Macaca fascicularis: one gene and its partner. The protein of the gene in region 1 purifies or fractionates together with the protein of each later gene. This does not show direct contact. Links are inferred from orthologs where the notes say so. Each region holds a gene or a part of one and is shown on either strand. Other genes may lie near its edges.

Region 1 (6,892 bases):
CTTGCCAGAGCGTGACTGGGATGTCTGGAAAAAAGAAAAAGATATCCCTGCCTGGGATGAGCAGGGAAGCCTCTGGGAGAGCACAGAGAAAGGTGAAGAAGGCAACTTGCTTTACAATTTCACCCACACCTGGAGCTGCCTGGAACAGTTTCCTTGCTCAGATGCAATGACGCCGTGCATCTCCTGTCCCGTGCCCTCTGAATCTTCCAAACTCTGCTCTCCAAAATGCCCAAGTGTGTTTTGCCCAGACTAGCGCTGTGCGCATGTTGCAAGAGTTATGACTGTTGTTTATCAGCTTCTATGTGCCGTACTCTTCAAACAGACACAAATGGAATGATTAGATTTACTAGAACTATAATGTTGGGTTTAAACACTCATACCCAAATTAGATAGTCCTAAATTAGAATGCCAACTCCAGAGCTTACTAGCTATCTGCTTTTGTGCATATTTATCTCCTTCTCTAAACCTTGCTATCGTTATTTGCAAACCGGGGATAATAATAGTATTCACCTGACAGGCGGCCATGAGGCTTAAACAAATGAGGTGATGCACGGGAAGCACTTAGCACAATGCCTGGGTCGTAGTAAGTGCTCAGTCAATGTCAGCCATTGATTTATTTCTCATCTACTTCTACTTCAAGTAAAAATTGGCAAACTAGTTTCAAGATCATTATACATGTAATCCAGACTCAGGCCGAGCTCACAAATTTGTTCTTCGAAAAAACCACAGAATTCTTTTGTAAGTCATGATCTACTTTTGTTGTTATTGTTGTTGTAAATAAGCTACATTTAGCTCTTAAATTTCATATCTCAGTTGGAAATCCTAAAGTCATCCTTCCAAAAATACAAGTGGTTCAGCCAATGACATTGATTAAAAAAAAAAGAGAGAGAGAGAAGAAAAAACCATATTTTTGCTTTATATAACATTAGGTCAGAGGTGGGACTCATTTCCACAACTACAAAGCTAAATAAATTACACTTATACCATTTTCCTTTCCTTTCCTTTCCCTTTCTTTCCTTTCCTTTCTTTTCTTTTCTTTTCTTTTCTTTTCTTGTTATTTTGAGACAGAGTCTCACTTTGTCACCCAGGCTGGATTGCAGTGGTACAATCTTGGCTCACTGCAACCTCCACCTCCTGGGCTTAAGCAATTCTCTTGCCTCAGCCTCTGGAGTAGCTGAGATTACAGGCACCTGGCACCACACCCAGGTAATTTTTGTATTTTTAGTAGAGATGGGGTTTCACCATGTTGGCCAGGCTGGTCTCAAACTCCTGGCCTCAAGTGATCTGCCTGCCTTGGCCTCCCAAAGTGCTGGGATTATAGGCATGAGCCACCACGCCCAGCCTACATTTACTTCATTTAATGCAAGGATGTGATTTGGCAATGCCAACCCTAAAGACTAGTTTTTGTTGTTGTTGTTGTTTTCAGTTTTATCTCTGGAAGAACAGATAAGCTTTTCCCCGAAGGTCCTAGGCTGTCTCCCAGGGTCCTTCCTAGCTGCGGTCCAAGCACAATCCTCTCCCCAGCTCAAACTGAAATTACATTGCATTTGTTGGTGTCCATTTTATAGTTTCAAATACCAGTTACTTCTTATTTCCAGACTGCCCCCAAGCTACTTTTCCTTGGGTTAACACAACAACCTCTTTTACACATAACATATTTATTGAATGTTTACCATATGCCAGATGCAATTCTAAATGCTTCATGTGGATTAACTAATTTTATCTTTGTGATATCTTGGTGAAATAGGTACTGTTGTTATCATCTTTCTCCAGAGGATATTATTTTTGAAGAAACTGAGGCACACAGGTTTGTATAATTTGCCCAAGATGACCAAGCTAAAATGTGGCAGAGCTGAGATGTGAACCCAGGCAGTCAGGCTACAGAGCCTGGCACTTTCCCATTGAACCTTACCACCTCAGTAGGGCACAGTGGCTCACGCCTGTAATCCTGAAACTTTGGGCAGCTGAGGCAGGAGGATCGCTTGAGACCAGGAGTTCAAGACCAGCCTGGGCATCATAGGGAGATCCCCATCTCTACGCAAAAAATAAAAAATTTTAAAAAATTGCCAGGCATGGTGGTGCATACCTGTAGTTTCAGCTCCTGGGGAGGCTCAGGTGGGAGAATCACTTGCGCCCAGGAGATTGAGGCTGCAGTGAGCTAGGATTATGCCACTGTACTCCAGCCTGGATGACACAGCAAGACCCTGTATCTAAAAAATAAAACAAACAAAAACTATACCAACTCTCAGAGAAAAAAGTGATGTTTATCAGGGATGCAGTTTGGACAAGAATCCTAACTCCACTTATTCTTAGGAGCACTTTTCCTTCCCACAGAACATTCCGTCCTGGCCCTGTGACCCTGCTCCTCCTAGCCTATTCTCAGGGGCATTCTTGAATAAAATACAAAAAAGCCACACTCACAACAATGTCCTTCTTACTTCTGTCAAACAGGGCTGCAAAAATATTCAAGGCAGTGTGGCTCAGACTCAGGGGGAGGGGCCCCAGCCCCACCTTCACCATTAAGTGGCCGGGTGCCCTCAAGCCAGTCACTCAGTGGCTCTTCCTTTCCACTCCACACAGCAGAGTGGGGGTCAGGCCAAAAGCTACCTTACAGGGCTTTGTGAGGATTCCATGAGCTCATCTGTGTAATGTGCTCAGCCCCATGCCTGGCTCAGTAAGTAATCTGATATCGTAAAGGGAGATCAATAATTAGCTGTTACAATTATTGATCACATAGTTCATAACCGTGAGCACACTTAGAAGGACAAATTCAGAAAAGACTTGGAGAGAGAGGCCGAGTTGTATTATCAGTTCTCTGGGGCTCTGCCCCTTGTCTGTCCCTGCACAGGAGGTCAGGTGCCTGAGACGGAACAGCTCACTCGCTGAGCCTGGTTGGCACTCCCACCTCCAGCAGGTTCCCCAGGGCAGAAGGCGATCATTAAAGGAGGCGGATGGGAGGATGGAGTAAGAGCCTAGACAGGGGCAAGCTAAAAATCCCTCCGTCAATCACCTTTGTTCCATAAGCAGTCATTTTCAGTCTAGGCAAAGCACTGCTTATTGCAGGTCAGCAGTTCTGCAAATTGTTTTAAAAGCATGCTTTTAACTGGGAACCTCGACATAAAAGTCAGGTAAGGATGGAGCTGCTTTGTTGGAAGTGGGAAGAGGAGGTGCCCCCAGGCTCCACGGTGAACGCCACAAAGGCGACCTGCATCCCTTCCCAGGAGCGAGGATGTCCTTAGATCACAAGATGTTTTCTTTTCTTTTTCTTTCTTTTTCTTTTTTTTTTGACACAGTCTTGCTCGGTTGCCCAGACTGAAGCGCAGTGGTGTGATCTCAGCTCACTGTAACCTCCACCTCCCGGGTTTAGGTAATTCTCCTGCCTCAGCCTCCTGAGTAGCTGGGATTACAGGTGCCTGCCACCATGCCCAGCTAATTTTTATATTTATAGTAGAGATGGGGTTCCACCATATTGGCCAGGCTAGTCTCAAACTCCTGATCTCAAGTGATCTGCCCACCTCAGCCTCCCAAAGTTCTGGGATTACAGGTGTGAGACACTGTGCCCAGCCACACAAGATTTTTTTAAGTTCAAAAGCCATTTTCTAAGAGAAACAAATGTATATAATAAATGTGAACCCAGCTGAGTAGTCCTTATGCAGAAGCCATGCTGAGTTCTCTGAGCAGGTCCAATGTCAGCACGTGTATTGCCAAGGCTGGCCTTCCAGAGACCGACTGCCGGGAGCCCGGGCCTCACGAAGGCAAGGGCTACACGCAGGTTACTGGGTAGACCAGTTAGCTTTGCCCCAGACAGAAACATTTTAGACAGCACCTGGGTTCTGTCCATAAACGCAGGGCACTGATGCTTAAGGGCCCTGACCAGGGTCTGTGCCACATCCCTGCACCCAGAGAAACAACTCAAGGTAGTTGTCTCCAAGGCAATGGGTGGAAGGAAAGGAGGGAGAGAGCATCTGGGCCAGAAGAACACATGGCCCAGGTCCCGGGAAACAGCCGCGCCCAGCTCACCGTGGTGAGAATGCTTTTCCCAGCCCTGTCCCCTTCTCACTTCTCCCCGAATCTATTCCCAGATGAAGGTATTTATGACTGCTCCTGGGCATTTCAGGGGCGGAAAGAAAAAAGAAAAGAGAAGAGAGAAGCAAAGGGAAAAGAAAAGAAAAGAGAAAAATCAGGGATTCACAATATTTACTTCCTAGAATTCTGCCTTTCAGTACCTCCCACACGAAACAAAATATGTGGTTCCAGAGACCCAAGGATTAAAGTTCAACTTGGAAAGAGAGAGGGAAAAGGAATGCCTGAACTTATTCCAGATTCGTGGCCAGTCCACCCACCACCCAGTGCATACCCAAGCGAGGGAAACACCTCAGCCCCGGGCTTAAAGGACGAGCACCTCGTTTTGCTCAATAAGTGTGAAGTGGCCTCAGGAACGTGCAGTCCCCAGTTTCCTACCTCTTCGGCGGGGGTCCCCAGGGTCGCTCCCCTCTCCCTTCTGCGCCACCTGCTACCGCTGATTTGGCATCTCTCCTGGGGAAGCCGCGGGGCGATCAGGGAGGAGTTCCGAGGAAGGAAGGGGAGGGCATGGTCTCCCAACCAAGCACTTGGTTCCAGGGAAAAGGATGTTTTGTAACTTTCAGCTTGAATTTCCAGAGGCAGAACAGGAAATGTCCATGGGGCTGGAGCTCAAGTGCGAAGTCAGCCGGGGCTCCGGCTCCTTTCCGAGGGGCGCTTCCTACGTGCTCCCGACGCTGGCCCTGTCTGGAATTTAAAGCTACGTCTGAATTCTGGTGCCTTTTCCCCTCTTACTCCTTCCTCTAGCACTTCTTCTTCTTCTTCTTTTTTTTTTTTTTTTTCTTAATGGAACGTCAGCTTCGTTCCTGACATGCTGGAAAAAGTTTCTTTTGCTTCAACTTGGCTCAGAAACATCCTCTCCTTGTGAGAGGATTTCTCCTATTACAAAGTTCAGTTTAAAAAAAGAGAGTTGTTTTGCCAACTTTTGTACTGAGAACATTTTTGACGGATTTTTCCCCCCGATCGCTTGGATTCCAAGAAACATACACACCCACATCCCTCTGTTTTTTGTTTTTTTCTCCTTCTAACTGAAAAATAGTAATAACAGCTGGTTGGACTGGGCACAGTGGTTTGCGCCCATAATCCCCGCCCTTTGGAAGGCTGAGGCAGGAAAATTGCTTGAGCTCAGGAGGTTGAGACCAGCTTGGGCAACATAGTGAAACCCTGTCTCTACATAACATTTAAAAATTAGCCTGGCACAGTAGCTTGTGTCTGTAGTCCCAACTACTTGAGCCCAGGAGTTGGAGGCTGCAGTGAGCTATGATTGAGCCACGGCAATCCAGCCTGGGCAACAGAGTGATATCCTGTCTCTAATGATAATAATAGTAATAATAACAATAGCTGGTCAAATATTGCAGTGCTGGTGGGGTGCTGTGGCTCATGCCTGTAATCCCCCAGCACTTTGGGAGGCCAAGGTGGGCAGATCACCTGAGGTCAGAAATTCAAAACCAGTCTGGCCAACATGGGAAACCCCGTCTCCACTAAAAATACAAAAATTAGCCAGGTGTGGTTGTGGGCATCTGTAATCCCAGCTACTTGGGAGGCTGAGGCACAAGAATCTCTTGAACCATAGAGGTGGAGGTTGCAGTGAGCCTAGATCACGCCACTGCACTCCAGCCTGGGTGACGGAGTGAGACTCCGTCTCAAAAAAAAAGAAAAAGAAAAGAAAAAAAGATTGCAATGCCGGTGTTCTTGTTCTTAGACTGTGAGCGGTAGCGTGCTGCCTCACTCAGCCTTGTCTGTGTGATTGTGTTCCCCATAGCACAGTGTGCATCCTGTGTGGTAAAGAGGGGTAACAGGTAATGATGGTCTTCAAGGGTGTCTCTTAGTTCTAGGTCTTTCTATAATGGTCACACAGGAATTGGCTACCTTTTTCAAATGGGGTCCCATTTCAAATTACAAACTCTATCTCCTCTGCTCCCCACCCCTTCTCCCCACCCCAGGGATAAGCCTGGAAGACCCTGGTTGTGATTTGTGGAGGTGATTGGGTGGAAGTAACCAGGCTGAGAGGCTAATCATAAGATTCAGTTGTTGGTAACCGCCCAGGGGGTAGCATGTCTGTGAACTGTCAAATGCCACCACAAATTGGGAACCTTTAGGGTACTTTTGACCCCTGCAACAAAACTCAGTAGTTTTCCTAGTGTTAATTGGGAATTTGTTCACAAGCAGGAAATGAGAATATCTCCTCTGTTCTATGTATTAGAAGCCATGTTGGCCAGGTTGGTTTCGAACTCCTGACCTCAGGTGATCCGCCCACCTTGGCCTCCCAAAGTGCTGGGATTATAGGCATGAGCCACAGCACCTGGCCTGCACTGCAATCTTTTACCAGCTATTGTTATTATTACTATTATTATCATTACTTGCACATTCATAGTGCAAGTAAGATTGTAAGAAAAAATAATTTGTTAGGCCAGGTGCAGTGGTTCATGCCTGTAATCCCAGCACTTTCGGAGGCCAAGGCAGGAGGATCACTTGAGTCCAGGAGTTCAGGACAAGCCTGAGCAACCTAGGGAAGCCCTGTCTCTACAAAAATAAAATAAAATAAATTAGCCAGTGTGGTGGTGCCTGTACCCCCAGCTACCTGGCAGGCTGAGAGGCAGGAGGATCACTTGAGCCTGGGAGATCGAGACTGCAATGAGCTATGATTGTACCATTGCACTCTAGCCTGAGCAGCAGAGCAAGACTCCATCTCAAAAAAAAAAAAAAAAAAAAAAGAAAGAAAAAAAGAAAAGAAATAAAAATTGCCAATTCATCGTGTTAGAAAGTTTCAAATGTTTTAGGAGTATCTTTCATTTACAAAAATTATACTGTA
Region 2 (6,113 bases), on another chromosome or scaffold:
AGCTCAGACCCTCTCAACTTTCAGGCACTGGTCTCATACCAATTGGTGTGACTGTGGGAGTAAGCTGCCACATATAAATCCTAGTTGTTTAGCTTCCCAACTATCCAGTCTAAAGCCTGATGCTACACACTTTGTGATTTGTGGGGCTAGGTGTAAGAATGCTTTCCAGTGCTGGTCATGAAAAGGATGTTCTTTGCGCAAGCTGAAACCCCCACATACCACTGGCAGGACTGTAAAACGGTGCAGTGCCTTTGGAAAACACTTTGGCAGTTCCACAAGCCTGGGCAACAAAGTGAGACCTGGTCTCTACAAAAAAAAAAAGGGCAGGGGGCGGGCCTGGTAGTGCCTGTACTCCCAGCTACGCCGGGAGGCTTAGGTGGGAGCCTCAGGGGTCCCTGAGCTGAGGGACGGCTTGAGCCCAGGAGGTCAAGGCTGAAGTGAACCATGACTGTGCCACTGCACTCCAGCCTGGGTGACAGAGTGAGATCTGTCTTCAAAAAAAAAAAAAAAGTTAAAACAGAGGGTTACCATCCTAAGAAAATTAAAAACATGAAAACTTCTACACTAATATTTATAGCAGCATCATCTGTAATAGCCGAAAAAATAGAAACAACTAAAATGTCTATCAACTAATAAACAGAAGAACAATGAAATGTTATTCAGCCACTGGAAACAACAAAGTACTGGCTGGGTGTGGTGGCTCATGCTTCTAATCCCAACACTTTGGAAGGCCGAGGAATGCTTGAGCCCAGGAGTTCAAGACTAGTCTGGGCAATATAGCAAGACCCCATCTGTACTTAAAACGACAACAACAACAACAACAAAAATGGGACAAAGCTGATAGATGCTACAAAGCACATGGATGAACCTTGAAAACATTACACTAAGCACAGAGGAGAATAAAGATCTTACCAGGTACCAGGTTGGTATAAGCCACCTCTGCTTTCTCTCTGTTCTAAAAGGGACAGGAGGAGGCTGGGTTATGACTGCAGACATACTTACTTTGATGGTCCTGTCACCAGAGGCGGACACAATGTACTTGTCGTCAAAGTCTACTACATTGACAGCAGCCCGGTGGCCAACCAGGACACGGCGTAAAGTGATATCGGTCGCAGAAGCCATGTCCCACACAGCAATGGAGCGGTCCTTGGAACAGGTCACCATCAGTCCATTGCTGAAGCGTAAGTGCAGTACGGCCTCATTGTGGTGGATCAATGTGTTAAGAACTTCACCCGTGTTCACATCCCACACCCTAGGAGAGAAGAGAAAAAGCATGATGCTTAATTACGGAGATAGCCAGGAAATGATTCTGGCATCTGAGTTCTGTCTGGGTCTGCAATGGCTTGGATATGGTTTGTCTGACTCTACCAAATCTCATGTTGAAACTGATCCTCAGGGTTGGAAGTGGGGACTGACAGGAGGTGTCTGGGTCATGGCGGTGGATCCCTCACGAATGACTTGGTGCCATTCTCATAGGAGGGAGTTCACTCTTAGTTCTGAGAGAACTGGCTGTTGACAAGAGCCTAGCAGCTCCGCCCTCTCTCTTGCTTCTCTCTCACATGTAATCTGCATACACTGGCTCGCCTTTGCCTTCTGCCATGAGGAGAAGTAGCTCGAAGCCTTCATCAGAAGCAGATGCTGGTACCATGCTTCTTGCAGAGCCTGCAGAACCATGAGTCAAATAAACCCCTTTTCTTTTATAAATTACCCAGCCTCGGGTATTCATTTATAGCAACACAAATAGACTAAGACAGGGTCCATTCTTAATGAACCTAAGGGCATGATTAAAAGGTGCCCCTAAAAAGCAATTTCTTTATTTGTTGAGAAGTGCTGAGATGGTTTCAGAAAAGGTGGCTAATTCTGGCTCTGCTCGAGTTTAGGTATATTTAGCAGTCAGGTATTCAGGGACGGTGTCTGCAGGCTCATGCTGATGGCAAAAGACAATTCCTCAAGAAAGCAGATTTTGTATTGAGTCTGAGATAAAAGGAAGAAGGAGCTTTGTTGGCTGAAGAACTGAGAATGGTTCCAAGCTTACAGTTCTTGTTGACCTCTGGCAGACCTCTGAGTCTATTATTTATCCACTGCAAACTGGGTAAGTCATGATGCCTCATCAATCACCACATCCACTTCTTTACTCAGCTGCTTTATGGACAAAGCCAGGGTCTCCCAACTGCTTTGTATGTCCAGGGATCTGGGGGCAGCACTTCCACATCATGGCTTTTCTGTAACCCTCATCTCCTAAGAGGACAAGTTCACACAGGGCAGAGGGGAAAAGACTCAGGCCTCTGAGGCTGAGACATGATCTCTGGCAGAAGCAGTGGTACGGAAGCACTGAGTCCAGGAGAGGATACCAGGCGTGCTTCAAGCAGGGGTGGTGATGCTTCAGGCAGGGGTGGTGATGCTTCAGGCAGGGGTGGTGATGCTTCAGGCAGGGGTGGTGATGCTTCAGGCACGGGTGGTGATGCTTTAGGCAGGGGTGGTGAAAGAGTCCGGGAGTGACTCCTGGAAGTGAGTGTCTCCTCTCTGCTCTGGACCAGTTTCCCAAAAGAAGAAAGCCAGCCTAATACTTGGTATATGCTCTTACAGGAAAGCATGTTGTCATCTCTATAATGAACAGCAACAGGAATAGAACACCCTTAACAAAAATTAGCTTTCCTGCCTAATTTGCTCAAACATATCTACAATAAAAGTTTGAAATACAGCATGTAAAAATGTAAGTGTGTGTATGCCTCTCCCAGAGGAGGATGTCAATCTCAGACTTTCTCAGGGAAGGCTTACAAGTTAAGACCAATGAAGCCAGATCACTCACCTCACCGTAGAATCTGAAGAGCCGGTTACAATGACACGCTCATCATACTGCAGACAGAGGACAGAGCCTGTGTGTCCCGTTAACACTTTCAAACATTCCAGGCTGGTTTTATCCCAAATCTATTGAGACAAGATTAGCCACAAACGATGATTTATTATACTATATTTTGATGAATGTTACTGTCCCACTTTATGTTCTGATTATAAAATAAAACACACTTGGGTTATAGTAAGTAAGAAACACTGAATATCAAACAGGTAAGAAATGACAAGTAGGAATACAGACAATAGTGATTAACTACAAGGATAGATGTGCTATTTTGCTTAATTTGAACCCTTAGCTATTGATCTTATTACACTTATCAACAGCCTCATAAAGGGGACTTTTTAAAAATAAAATCTGTGAAAAGAATTCGCTCACTGGCTGGGTGTTGTGGTTCATGCCTATAATCCCAACATTTTGGGAGGCAGAGACAGAAGGATCGCTTGAGCCCAGAAGTTCAAGACCAGCCTGGGCAACATAGCAAGTCAATCTCCATAAATGTGTGTGTGTATGTGTGTGTGCGTTTTTTTTTTTTTTTAATTAGCCAGGCGTGGTGGTGTGTGTCCCTGTAGTCCCAGCTACTCAGGAGGCTGAAGTGACAGAATTGCTTGAGCCCAGAAGGCAAGGCTTCAGTGAGCTATGATCATACCACTGTATGCCGGCCTGGGTGACAAAGCAGAACCCTGCTTTGTCATTTTATTTTTATGTCTCGTAAAAATAAATTAATTAATAAAAAAAGAACTGGCTCACTCTCTGGAAAGCAACATGACAACATTTAATTATTAAGACCTTTTACAAATGCATACCCCTACATTTACAAAAATAAAAAGTGGAAAATGAAACGTCCATCATTTCATAAAAGTCTCAAAGTAAACTATGAAAAGTGTTTAATGAGAAAAGATCATGCTTTATTACAAAGTTAAGCATTTTTTAAAAATCAGAATAAAAATTATCTATAAAGTGACACAATGACTGTATTTTAGAAAAGGAAAAAAGGATTAAAGGAGGTAAAATGTTGTCAACAGTTGTTTTCATGCTCTGAGTGTTCCTCTTCTCGCTTCTTTTACTGCCTCCATAGATTTGTCTTTTCCAGAATGTCACAGAGTTGGAATCATACAGTATGAAGCCTTTTTACATTGGCTTCTTTCACACAGTAATACATACTGAAGGTTCCTCCCTGTCTTTTCATGGCTTGATATACATTCCTTTTTCGTGCTGAAGATTATCCCATTGTCTAGATATACTACAGTTTATTTATCCATTCACCTACTGAAGGACACCCTGGTTGCTTCCAAGTCTGGGCAATCATCAGTAAAGCTGCCATAAACATCTGGGTGCAGGTTTTTGTGTAGATGTAAGTTTTTGACTCAGTTGTGTAAATACTAAGTAGCAACACTGCTGGATCATATGGTAGAAGTATGTTTAGTTTTGTAAGAACTGCCAAACTGCCTTCTGAAGTGGCTGTACCATTTTCTGTTTCCACCAGCAATGAATGAAAGTTCCTGTTCCTATTGCTCCACATTCTTGCCAGCATTGGGTGTTGTCAGTGTTCTGGATTTTGGCCATGCTAACAGGTGTGTAGTAGTGTCTCACTGTTATAATTCACATTTCCCTGATGACTTACAATGTGGAACATCTTTTCACATGCTTATATGCCATCTGTATATTGGTGAGATGTCTGTTAAGGTCTATGTCTTATTTTTAAAAATCAGGTTAATCTAATTGTTTATTTTCTTACTGCTGAGATTCAAGAGTTCTTTGTATGTCTTTTGCATATATTTTCTCTAGTCTGTGGCTTGTTTTCTCATTCTCTAGACAACGTCTCTCACAGAAATTTTTAATTTTAACAAAGTCCAGCTTATTAATTCTTTATTTCATGGGTCATGCCTTTGGTATTATATCTAAAAAGTCATCAACAAACTCAAGATCATCTAGATTTTCTCCTATGTTATACTCTACGAATTTTATGGTTTTGTGTTTTACAATTAGGTCTTTAATCCATTTTGAGTTAATTTTTGTGAAGTACATAGGATCTGTGTTTAGATTGTTTAGGGGTAAGGGAGGCAATATGGTATCTAATTGCTTCTGCCCCATTTGTTGGAGACAATCTTTTCTCCACTGTATTGTCTTTGCTCCTTTGCAAAAGATCAGCTGACTATATTTATGAAGGTATATATTTCTGGGCTCTCTATTCTGTTCCATGGATCTAGTTGTCCATTCTGTTGCCAGCACCACACTATTGTGATTACTGCAGTTTTACAGTAATTCTTGAAGTACGGTAGTGTTAGTCCTCTGTCTTTATTCTACTTCAATATCATGCTGGTTTTTGCTTCTCCATATAAACATTACAGTCAGCTGGTAGATATCCACAAAATAACTTGCTGGGATTTTGACTGAGACTGCATTGAACCTATAGACCAATTTGGGAAGAAATGACTGACATCCTCACAATAGTCTTCCCACTCATGAGCATGAAATGTCTCTCCCCATTTATTTAGTTCTTTGATTTCTTTAATCAGTCTTACAGTTTTCTTCACATAGATCTTATACATATTTTGTTAGATTTATACCTAAGTATTCCATTTTGGTGGGGGGATGCTAATATAAATGTTATTGTGTTTTTTGAGATGGAGTCTCACTCTGTTACCCAGGCTGGAAGTGCAATGGCGCGATCTCGGCTCACTGAAACCTCCACCTCCCAGGTTCAAGCGATTCTCCTGCCTCAGCCTCCTGAGTAGCAAGACTACAGGCGCCCACCACCATGCCTGGCTAATTTTTGTATTTTTAGAAGAGATGGGGCTTTGCCATGTTGGCCAGGCTGGTCACGAACTCCTGACCGCAGATGATCCACCCACCTCGGCCTCCCTGAAGTGCTGGGATTACAGGCGTAAGCTACTGCGCCCAGCCATGTTACTGTGTTTTTAATTTCACATTCCACTTGTTCATTGCTGGTATATGGGTAAGCAAATGACTTACGTATATTAATCTTGTATCTGGCAAACCTGTTATAATCATTTATTAGTTCTAGGAGATTTTTTTTGTTGATGCTTTCATTTTTTTCCACAATCATGTCATCTACAAGCAAAGACAGTTCTAATGCTTCCTTCTCAATTTGTATACCTTTTATTTCCTCTTGACTTATTGTGTTATCTAGGAGTTCTAATACAATGTTGAAAAGTAGTGGTGAGTGGGGACATCTTTGTCTTATTCCTGATCTTAGTGGGAAAGTTTCATATTTCTCAGCACTGTGTATGAATGTTAG

What was found. The genes of interacting proteins can lie anywhere in the genome.
Region 2: the proteins of TACC1 (region 1) and FBXW11 purify together in Homo sapiens (affinity purification with mass spectrometry; 3 studies listed by BioGRID and IntAct, counting the BioPlex papers as one, with this or other methods). This does not show direct contact. The link is inferred for Macaca fascicularis from reciprocal best matches to the Homo sapiens genes TACC1 and FBXW11.

Annotation. Positions count from the first base shown.
Region 1 is NC_088382.1:42,127,585-42,134,476, reverse strand, and holds the start of TACC1 (transforming acidic coiled-coil-containing protein 1), read right to left. Parts: upstream 4,539-6,892; 5' UTR 4,462-4,538; intron 2,211-4,461; 5' UTR 2,087-2,210; intron 1-2,086. UniProt on the Homo sapiens protein: Involved in transcription regulation induced by nuclear receptors, including in T3 thyroid hormone and all-trans retinoic acid pathways. Might promote the nuclear localization of the receptors.
Region 2 is NC_088380.1:178,665,985-178,672,097, forward strand, and holds part of FBXW11 (F-box/WD repeat-containing protein 11), read right to left. Parts: intron 2,929-6,113; coding exon 2,810-2,928; intron 1,253-2,809; coding exon 1,003-1,252; intron 1-1,002.